Linked DNA regions of Yarrowia lipolytica. The protein of the gene in region 1 interacts with the protein of each later gene in a biochemical or structural test. Links are inferred from orthologs where the notes say so. Each region holds a gene or a part of one and is shown on either strand. Other genes may lie near its edges.

The links.
Region 2: the proteins of YALI1_D04533g (region 1) and YALI1_F04895g form a complex in vitro, tested with the Saccharomyces cerevisiae proteins (2 studies listed by BioGRID). The link is inferred for Yarrowia lipolytica from reciprocal best matches to the Saccharomyces cerevisiae genes VPS74 and SEC21.

Annotation. Positions count from the first base shown.
Region 1 is NC_090773.1:450,736-455,320, reverse strand, and holds YALI1_D04533g (uncharacterized protein), read left to right. Parts: upstream 1-1,956; coding exon 1,957-3,231; downstream 3,232-4,585. Other genes in the region: YALI1_D04556g (uncharacterized protein), read left to right, coding at 1-317; YALI1_D04512g (uncharacterized protein), read left to right, coding at 3,636-3,998, 4,050-4,361.
Region 2 is NC_090775.1:486,639-492,871, forward strand, and holds YALI1_F04895g (uncharacterized protein), read right to left. Parts: upstream 3,592-6,233; coding exon 2,985-3,591; intron 2,939-2,984; coding exon 819-2,938; downstream 1-818. Other genes in the region: YALI1_F04920g (uncharacterized protein), read right to left, coding at 4,882-5,457. UniProt on the Saccharomyces cerevisiae protein: The coatomer is a cytosolic protein complex that binds to dilysine motifs and reversibly associates with Golgi non-clathrin-coated vesicles, which further mediate biosynthetic protein transport from the ER, via the Golgi up to the trans Golgi network.

The sequences.
Region 1 (4,585 bases):
TTCAGCGGTTCATGAGTGGCCAGTCGGTGGCACCGGTCATGCGGTCGGTCAATCTAGCTTGGCGATACCCCATCAAATTCCCCGACCAGGTGACGGTCGTCCACAAAATTGACCAGATTCTCGATGACCGGTTCATTCTCAAGGGCGTCGTGATAGGCCACAAGTCCAAGAAGGTGTGTGCACGAATTGAAGAGGTGATTGTCGCTGTCGATTACACTAAGGGTGCCACCAAGTGTTCTATTCCGGACGATATGAGAGAGTTTCTGGAGCAGAAAAAGAGAGAGCAAGGCGCGGGGGAGTATGATGCGCAGATTTAGCGTAACCCATTCGGAGCAGCCGAAGCCGACGAGAAATGGCAGAAGCCGACGATGAATGGACAATTGTTAGATGGGTGCTGTGTCAGTACATGACTCTGGGGTGCTTCCTTTTGCACAATAGCTAGCTGACAGATGCTGACAAGTGCTATCGAAGCAGGGAACTTGAGTCTCTGAGACAGGCTTCATAGATGGCACCTTTCTCGAGTCATTATAGAATAGATTGTTTTGGAATATTTGAGAAATTGTACAAGTAAGTTGAATCGGATCGCTCAGAGAAGTGTTCTTATAGTCACAGTCTCCTTAGTGATTTGAAGACTATGCAAGTACGAGAACAGTATGTCCAGTAAGCATATATATCTGTACTTGGTGACGGTGCCATCACTGAAATTTTCTAGAAAATGGGTTAATGATACACTCTATTGCAGTACAATACAAGACCGAAAGTGTACCACTGCCTTCTTTTTTTTTTTATTATTCTTCTGGTATCAACTGACACTTCATCTAATGTGGAGACCATAACAGTTTTGCACAAGTTCATGTCCCTTCACGTAGCAGTTTAATACGACATGTGTACTGAAAAGTACATATCCTGATTAAGAATCCGCTGCTAATTCTAATGGTATAATTCAACCTACCCTATGAGTGACAAAAATGTCTTTTTGTGTGCGTTTTTGTTTGCCATGTTCACCAGAACCTGTAGATTAGGCGAATACTCTCAACCGACACTTTTGTATAGAGCATAGGTTTTTTTTGTATCATTCGAATCAGCTTGAAATTCCAAGTCCAATGATGTACCTCTTATCAACACTTGACATACAAAGGTTTTCAGAATTGTGTGTTTTTTTCTACCCCGTCTTTCTCCAGACCCAAGAGAAGCAGAGCTAACCCAAGCCCAGATCAAACGAGCTAACGACAGACCAGTCTAGAATCTCATTGTTCTGTGAATTAGACGCTTGTCTAACCCGTAGACGCACGCTAATGTCGAGAAAAAAGCGTTTTTTGCAGGGATCATTGTCTGGTTTCGTCGTTCTCTCTATAATCTTTATTGACGAAGTCACTGGTTGCTTGGGTCCCTCGTTAGCAGCATTTGAATGACATATGGTGGCAGAAAAAGGTACCAATCAGCTCAGATCTTCCGGCTGATTCGATTAAGACCAAAATATCCACCTCTTTTCATACAATTTCTGCGTGCTTGGTGGACCTACATTCCCATGTTGTCGTCGTCCAACTGCCGCGATTAGGTTACAGCTGATCCTTCATGTCGTCGTCGTGCCCAAACATCAATGTTACAAACTCTGGATGGGGGTTATCGGGCCTTGAGTAGGCGCGAGTGCTTAGGATTGCAGCAGACCTGAGTTGTTGCACACAATTCTCAACAAGTCAGGTGGCAGCGAAACCAGGCAAAACTATATATATTAAAAAATTGGAACAATTGGAAAAAACGGGAAAAACATGGAAATGCGGGTCTTTAAGTATTCTCGTCAAGAAAGACTCAACAACCTCCATCGACAGCCAGTACTGTAGTTCGTCGTGACACAATTTGTACACAGAAATATCCAGTTCACGCACAAATCAGTCAATCAGTAGAAACACGTGACTGTGCAACGAAGTGCATGTTTGGCCATCCACGACAGGCCAAATGACAGAAAATATATGCCCCCGGGTGATTGCTCTTTCCATCAGCAATTACATTTCTCGTACATTAGACCATCCTCCATTCTCCGTATTGCTTACTCATCCATTACCAAGGGGCGTCTTCTCCCAACACCTGTCATCAGCATTATTCACACGTAAGGTATACGCAGCCTTTGAGCTTAGCAGCAGCACGTCCAGCACAACCACAGACTTACTTGTAGTACCAACACAACTACGAGGAGTAGGCACTGCACACACAATTACATCCATGTCAGGCCTGCAACGACGACGTGTCAACAACACGGCTTCGGCCGACGAGACCTGGGGCAGCTCTGAACGACAGACGTCGACCGTGCCAAAGACGGACGAAGACGGTCCCAAAATCGGATACGACCCCAAAGACATACGCACGGCGGAGGAGGAGGAGAAGCAGCCGCGCCTGACGCTCATGGAGGAGGTGCTGCTGATGGGGCTCAAGGACCAGCAAGGGTATCTGTCTTTCTGGAACGACAACATCTCGTACGCGCTGCGGGGCTGCATCATCATGGAGCTGGCTCTACGTGGCAAGGTCCAGATGGTGAACGACACAAACCGCCGACGCTTCCCCATTTCGGACCGGTACATTGAGGTCATCAACGACAAGCTGACAGGCGAGGCGCTGCTGGACGAAACCATCAAAATCATGAAGGCCTCTGAAAAGCTCACCGTCGGCACCTGGATCAATTATCTGTCAGGCGAGACCTGGAACCTGTCCAAGATCAGCTACCAGCTCAAGCAAGTGAGAGAACGGCTTTCCAAGGGCCTGGTCGACAAGGGCATTCTGAGAACCGAGAAACGCAACTTTTTCCTTTTTGATATGCCCACCCACCCCGTCGCAGACACGGGCGCCAAGGAGGACATCAAAAAACGCGTGCTGTCGCTTCTCACCGCACGTACCGTTGTCATCAACCCATCTCCTTATTTGCCCGAGGGCGTGCCCTTCCGATACCTCCGATCTGTCGGAGCAGTATGTGGCGCCTATGCTGCCAACGTGCTTGAAAACGTGCTCGCAGATCTGAGCTACGAGATGCGTGACCAGGCATTTGCACGAGCTGACGATTTGTTGAACGACTTTTCCGAGTGGCCCTTTGTGGAGAAGCCTGGTCAGACCCAGAACGTGGGCGTGAACTTGTTCCAGGAAATCAACGACGAGATTGCAGCCAACCCGAATAAAGAGCTGCAGCTGGAGGTGGTGGCTGGAGTGTTTGACATTTTTGCAAACTTGGACAGCATTTTGTGATGTACGATCGCAGCGACAATGTCAGAAGATGCGAAGGATTGTCGCCTGTAATGATACTAGGCACGTTATAAAGTAAATATGAACGAATGGTCAACGAGTGTACGAGTGGAGCAAGTACATGGGGGATTAATGAGCTCTTGACATCTATGGGAGACAGTCGTAGACTGGTGATTGACTGGTAACCGTTGCGACGCAATTCGACTTTATTGAAAAGGTGAACAAACGAGTGCTTTTCACGATTGAGATGTAGATCTTTATTGGTATTGACTGCATCTGGTTCCTTGTACAGATGCTGAAACGTCGGTAATAGTGGAAGGACATCTTTTTACAAGTGTGTAAGTGCTCTACGGTTTGATTAATGCCTCCATAAAGAACACCAGTGGCTGTAGTCCAATGCTACTGCAATGTTAGACAAATATATTGTTTCCGAGTGGCTGTTTCAATCAGTTGTTGTCTGTTGGATCACTCCACACACCTCCTGGGCCCTTCCCAAGGTGAGATCAGCGGCAAGCTCTTTTTTTTTGGTAATCTCTTCCGTCAGGAACGGAGCTGCTTGGTTTTCCACGATTCGACACAGCGATTTGTTACTTGTCTGGCCCGTCTTTAGCCACCCCAGACCCACAGACGAACAGTCATACGCCCATTTTGGGCCATTGAAAAACATCATGTGGAACCCTGATTCGCTGGAGGAGGTTCGATCCGCTGTTGGTGAACACTATGTCGTCCTCCAGAATCAAGCATCTCTCCTTCCCACCTTTGGCACACAAGTCGAGCGCCTGCTGGTACTGCACTGTACTTTTTAGTGTACTGTACCCCAGCTCGTCAAAGTGGATCTGATTCTCGAGTATTGTCCGGCGACTCCAGCTCTTGAGTGTCGATTCACAAGCGGTCACGTCATCAGCCAGAACAATGCCAGCCGGAATTATCGACAGAACGGTCCCATTATTTGGTCAAAATGTATGTGTCGAAGGTGTTGGAAAATGCCAAAGCCAGTGGGGTCCTGGAGATGGAGAGACCGCTGGGCAATGAAACAGAGTGAGACGGATGTCAGCAGAGCAATCGCAACCCTTGCCCATCTGTTCATGTCGAAAGATCGAGTAAGACGTTCTCTTTCCTGCTACTCGCGTTAGCTGTATAATCAGTCCGTATGTAATTTACGTCGAGTCATTGAGTGCGATAGGATGACTGACAGAAACATCCGTGAAGTAGCTACATGGTAGACTACAGAAATCCACTTTTTCCTGAAAATTATTGTTTATGCAAAATATATTGCTCTTATCAGTTGAGTTCACATGGCATTGTCCAGAGTACAGTATGTACAATACTCACGCTGCCTTTTTATTTTATTTTTATG
Region 2 (6,233 bases), on another chromosome or scaffold:
AGGTGGTGAAGAAGTAAAAGTTGTATAGAAATGTAGCTGGAAACGAGGACTATGAAAACATGTAATAAATTATCATTCTTGTCATACAAAAATTCCATTCCGTAGCCATAATAGCAAAAAAAATGTCCTCCCTTTTTACTTAACTTTACTTGGAAACATGCATATATGACCAGTCATCATTACCACACTATGGCGACTCTACTTTAACACCCACCTCGCGCTTTTCGACTCTTCTTCCTTCACATCACTCGCCCCAAATCCAACAACACAAACACAACAAAGCGGCGGACGCAATCATGTTCTGTCTCCAATTCGGCGTGGTGTTTGTGTGTGGATGTGGTTAATTGGTGTCACAAGCTGAAGTCAGTTTGAACTGTTCTCGCTTCCTGAGACTACAGATTAAGAGTATGTCGAATACACTTTACTAAGGTGGTATCGGATTCTAGTCATGCCCAGAAGCCTCTAATAGTTTTCAACTGCATCTCACTCGGACAACTCCAATTCGCGGAATATTGGTCTTATCAGAGTGACATTACAGAATCACATTAAATCGTGATAAAAACAACTTGAATCGTGATAGAATCAGTTGAAATGGACTTGAATTGGATAGAAACAATGAATCATCCTTTTGAGCAGGTTCCCTAGCTGAATCATCCTCCTAAAGCATGCTCCTCAGCCCTTCACGTGGACGTTCTAGCCATCATCATCCACAGAGCCCAATCACACCTACTACACCAAACTTGCAATAATCCTTCACTATATATCTTACTAACCAAAGGCCACTTATCTGGCCTGTTCGCTCATTAACAAAGACGCACTTACAACGAGCCCACAAATCCAGCAACCAACTCGGCCACTTCCTCATCACCCGATCTAGCCTTGCACTGCACCACAACTCCTGTTCGCTGCGAGGCGGCCATCTTGATCTGCACAATCACCTTCTCGCCAGTCAGAGTCTTTCCAAACAGCTTCAGAGTATGTGTGGAAGCCGAGGTGACCTCATCAGACGACTCCAGAGGAGTGAGAGACAGCTGTGAAATGAGAAACTGGACAGCTTCCTCCAGACCCTTGTATTCGGACAGAGTGGCAGTGTCAACCGCCTCGGTGTTGGCCAGCTCGTCCCACAGGTGGTCAAACGAGCCGATGAAGCCACCCTCGAGGTAGTCGCCAGCACCCAGCACCAGGTTCTCAATCTGGTACTCGTCCTCGTCGCCGTCCTCAGACACCTCGCCGGTGGTCTTGTTGATGTCATGGAGAGTGAACTTGAGAATGTTCTCAAACGATGCAACAGCAAGATGGTCCTCGGTCTTCTCGAGGGCCACGTAGACGGTGCCGTGAGAATCGGGACCAAGCTCGTCCACAGGAAGAATGAACTCCTCCACCAGCTCCTCGCTGTCGTCCTCAATAGACGCCACCACTGACACGTTGCTGAGCTGTGCGTCGGGAAGCGTGTTGTGCACGTCGTACTGCAGCACCACGTGGCTGGGGAAAATGTGTTTGATGGCAGTCACGACAAACTCAGTCTCGGACTCGGTGAGAGCCACCGCAAGAGAAGACTTGAGAGGAGTGCCAAAGGCTGCCAGATCGGGAATAGCGGCCAGCTCGGCAGCGTACTTCTCGGCACGCTGGATAGCGGCCTCGTGAGAATTGCTCTTGGACGCCAGGTTGGCGGTGGTGGCAGCAGCCGCAGAAGCAGGGGTGGGTCCTCCAGCTCCGCCGTTGACCACAGGGGTGGCCTCGGTGGTCTCTCTGTGTGCCTTGAGAGCAGCCTCTCGGGCCTCCTGGTCGGTGATGAGAGGCACAGAGGACATGTCAAAGGGCGTGTCAAAGTCGGCACCGGACCCAGTCACATACAGAGCCAGCTTGTGCTCCAGAATGGGGAGAGAGAATCGCGACTCGGGCGAAATGTATGCCTTGGCCTGGGCCTGGTCACCAGACTCGAGCAGCTTGAGCGCAATGACAGCTCGGTCTCGCACCTCGTCGGTCTCATCCTCCAGAGATCGCTCCAGCAGCACCTTGACGGACTTCTTGACAGAGGTGTCATCCACCAGCGCGAACTTGGCCAGTGCAGAGACAGCAGCTGCTCGAATGAAAGCGTTTTCAAGCACGATTCGGTTGTAGATGTACCGAATGTACACTGTGGGGTTGGCGGCGGCAGGGCCCTCCTGTCCGAGAGTATGCAAGACGGAAACAACAATCTCGGTGTACTCGCAGTCCTCGATGAACTCGCACAGAATGCCGAGGGCGGTGTCTCTGCAGTCGGGCACGTACCGGATCATGTCAAACAGCGCGGCAACCACGGCAGCCTTGTATTGGGCACTGCCACCATCGTTCCGAAGGGTGTTGCCAAAGAACTGCAGCATGGTAGACTTTTTAGCGTGGAACTTAAGCGCTAGCGACCGGACAGCATCGATGACCACAATTCGGAATTCGTCGGTGATGTCGGACATGAACCCGCTGATCTGGGTGACCAGCTTGTCGACGGAGGCCTCATTGCCGGTCTTGAGCAGCGCCGTGATGGCGTAGGTGGCGATGGACCGGTTAGAGTCGGTGATCAAGGGCTGGATCTCCGCGTTGCACACGGCCACGGCGCCGGGGTTGGTCATCGCGAACCGGTTGAGGATTCGGATGGCTGCAAACCGGGCAATGGTTCGAGGAGACGCCAGGAAGGCCCGCAGCGACTCAATGGCGGAGGCGGCCTCCTTAGGGCTCACGTCTCGGAGGGTGAGCACGGCCTTGGCGGCCTCGAGGGCGACCATGTCGGATTTGTGGCCGAGATATCGTTCCAGGAGGGCCACGAGCTGTTGCCGGTGGGCACCGTCGTTGGCAGCCTTGGCGATGAATCGGATGAGCATGACATTGGCGTTGGGCGACTGCAGGTGGGCCGAGGCGCCGGAGAACTGCTGGATGAGCTTGATGAGGGCCATTCGGTCGTGTGCTCGCAGCTCGTACAGCAGCGACAGGGCGTGGTAGGGGGCCAGCACGGCGGGGCCGGGGCGTAGTTGGGCAGGGGTCACCCGCCGGGAAGTTCTTCTGCGACGTGACCGCCTCCTGGACCTCGGCGGCCCATCGGCGAATGGTGTCCTTGGCGATGGGGAGCAGGTGGTAGGCCGACACGAGGGCGGCCGACGACACGGAGGTGTGACGGTCGACAATGGCCGTTTTCATCAGCCGCTCAATGCCCTGCACAAACGAGCCGTCAATGACCCGCGCCAGTGCTCGGATGGCATTGGGTTTGTAGATCAGGTCCGACGAGCCCTGCACGTCTCGGGTGATGGACGAGGTGACCATAATCACGTCGTTGTTGGACAGAGGCACCAGCTCCTTGATGGCCAGATACACAATCTGCCGCAGCGACGGGTCCTTATGGGGGAACAGCTTGGACACGGCGATGAACAGACCCGTGGCCTCAAACTCACTGAAGGTCTCGCCGATGGTGAGCAGGTGGATCAGCTTGGCCAGCAGCTTTCGGCACTTTCGCGCGTTGATGGGCGACTCGGCAAACGCCCGCTGACACTCCTGGTACACGGTCATCTTGTCCAGCGCGCCCGACTCAATGTCGTCGTTTTTCTTGTAGCTGAGCGCTGACATTGTGGGGAGTGGTGTAGGATGACAATGTATGTGTGCTGTGTGTCGGTGTAACAACTGTATCTGACGTGTTTCTTTCGTTAGGGTTAGGGTAGGATAGGTGGAATGGATGGGAGGAGTGGTGCCGGAGCTGTGGGTCGAAAAAGGGCACTTTTTTGGACGGCAAAATAAATTGGGCAAGGAAAAGAAATATGAAATCGCTATAATATGTGTTTAACCCATTTTTTTCTGCTTTTTACACCCAGCGAGCGCCTTTTCTGAGCCCTCTGATCTGGCTCTATGTACAAGTACAGTACATCCGACGTGCGGTTATACGGTTATACAGGTAGAAGTTGAAATAGACCCTGAAAAAGTGAAAAAAATGGGGAAAAATGTGGGAAAAATTACATTAAATATAACACAACATTGTCTTTGAAAGTAATAATTTTGCGGATTTCTATCTCCCCAGAATTACCATTTAAACCGATCCTCCATCGCGCCAAAACACCCTAATTTATTGTACGGCGTAAATAAAGTTTCGAGACCCGGTGGTGAAATATTGGAGATGTGGAACAGGACGTTCATGGGTGTATAATCGGAAAAAATGGGGAAAAATGGAGAAAATGAGGAAAAATCAGAAAAAAAAAAGGGAAAAAATTGGAAAAATCACAAAAATCTCAACGATCTAAACATGCCGCCAAATTTCTGAGACTCTCGGAAAAATCAACCACATTCTCCAACCTCTCCCCATTCACCTCCTCTCCTGCAACTATCAAAACTCCTGCGCACTCATGTGATGCAAAACCAACCAGTTTTGATCAAAATGAGCTGTAAATTTCACAGTAGAGTCTCAAAGACGTGATCATCACCAATCACCAACATCCAGTCAATCGACCATCTTTTCACCCACCTGATCCAACTGTTGTACAGACTCAGTTCTGAGACAGTTCTGAGACTACGGCGAAAAAAAACATAAGGTAGACACAACCAACAAGTCTCTATTGTTTTTTTATTTTTTATTTTAACTATCCATATTTACCATCAACAAGCAAAGACTGCTTCTGATAGAAACAGGTATATACCACTGAAACCGCCCCTAAAACACACACTTTATATATACCCCATTAATTATGAAGATACTTCACTGAATACCATCACATTCAGCACAGAGCTCAACTGCAGCAAAACATTAACGACCCCACCCCGTATCACTCATCATGACGCGTAGTTGCCGCAGTCGCTACGGATAGTTCTATGGGCTGAAATTGATCGCTCTCTCGATCATAGTTCGGTCTTCCCCCCACCCTCCTAGTTCTATCGCCTTCTTCTCGCCCGCATCGCCATAATCGGCCGCTTCACCACATTCCACTTGACTGTGTCCCAGGCTTTGGTCACAAAGTGGTCCTCCTTGTTCTCAGATGGGTCTTTGTAGTTGTAATCTGCAGCAAAAGTGTTGCTGCCCCCACCTCCCACGCACCTCCGCTTCCGATTCTCAGGATCGCCACTGACGGGAACATAACTCTCATCGCCAACCTCGCGATGGAACTCGCAGGTCGCAGCATGTTCCCCTCTCTGTCCACAATCATAGCACGAGTTCAGCAACTCCGAAGAGGGAAGACACCGCAGGTGCTCAGGGACCTTGCTCTCAACGGCGTACTTCAAAATGCCGCGAGTGCCGTCCGCCAGCTTGCGCACCTTGTACTGTGGCAGAGTGTGCTTGTTTTTGCGCTCGTAAACAGCACAAGCGTTCCACTGGTTGAATGTTGCAAAGGGATTGTAGCTGTCGATCTTGTTCTCCTTTCGTTTCCGCTCGACGACACTGTGGAACTCGGGTGTGATTGTCTTGGCCCAGAAAAGATCGTGAGCGTCAATGGCGTGTGGGTCGTCCATTACTTTTCCGTCCGGAATGGGGCCTCCATCCTCAGGCAGGGGGGCGACAGAGGGAGCGGGTAGAGAGTGACGTTTGCGACTCTGAGATTGAGCCGAGGAAAGACTCTGTAGATAGCTGACAGGCTGTCCAAGGCCCAGACTCGAGTGTCGGGACTGATAGGGCCGGGTCAGCGAAGACGACTGTGGCTCAAAGGGGAGATGCGCAGGAGTCTCCTGATGTGAGTATTTTTGGAAATCGCCCTGGTAGCTTGGGCCAGAGGGAGTTGGAGGAGTTGTTAATGACAGGCTTGTTCCCACAACTCGGCCATTCTCGTCCAGCTGGATTCCCTGATAGTGGTCTGGGCTGAAAGGGTAATGGGATTCAGAAGGCCGGGATGAGGCCTTGGTCGAATATAGACCGTCAATGTAGCCAGTCTGTAGGGGGGACGACTTCTGAGAAGATCCAGCGGTAGGCTGATAACCACTGGATGGCAGAAACCTCTGGTGGAGTTCAGTGGGCGACCCAATCGAGTGGCGACTGGGACGGGAGCCGTGAGCGATTGAAGGACTCTGGGCATAAGTGTAGTTTGGTTGAAAGTAGGTTGGTTGTTTGAAGTCGCTTCTCTGAGCGTGGCTGTCTGTGTTGCGAGATGACACTGTGTTAGCGGTGGTATCACACTGAGGGTAACCAGTCGGGTTTCACAGTCTCTGGTGCCACACAATCTGGAGACACAGAGACTAACTAGTCGGGTTTCACACGTCAGTCTCTGATGACACAAAAATCCCGGGGTATCTCC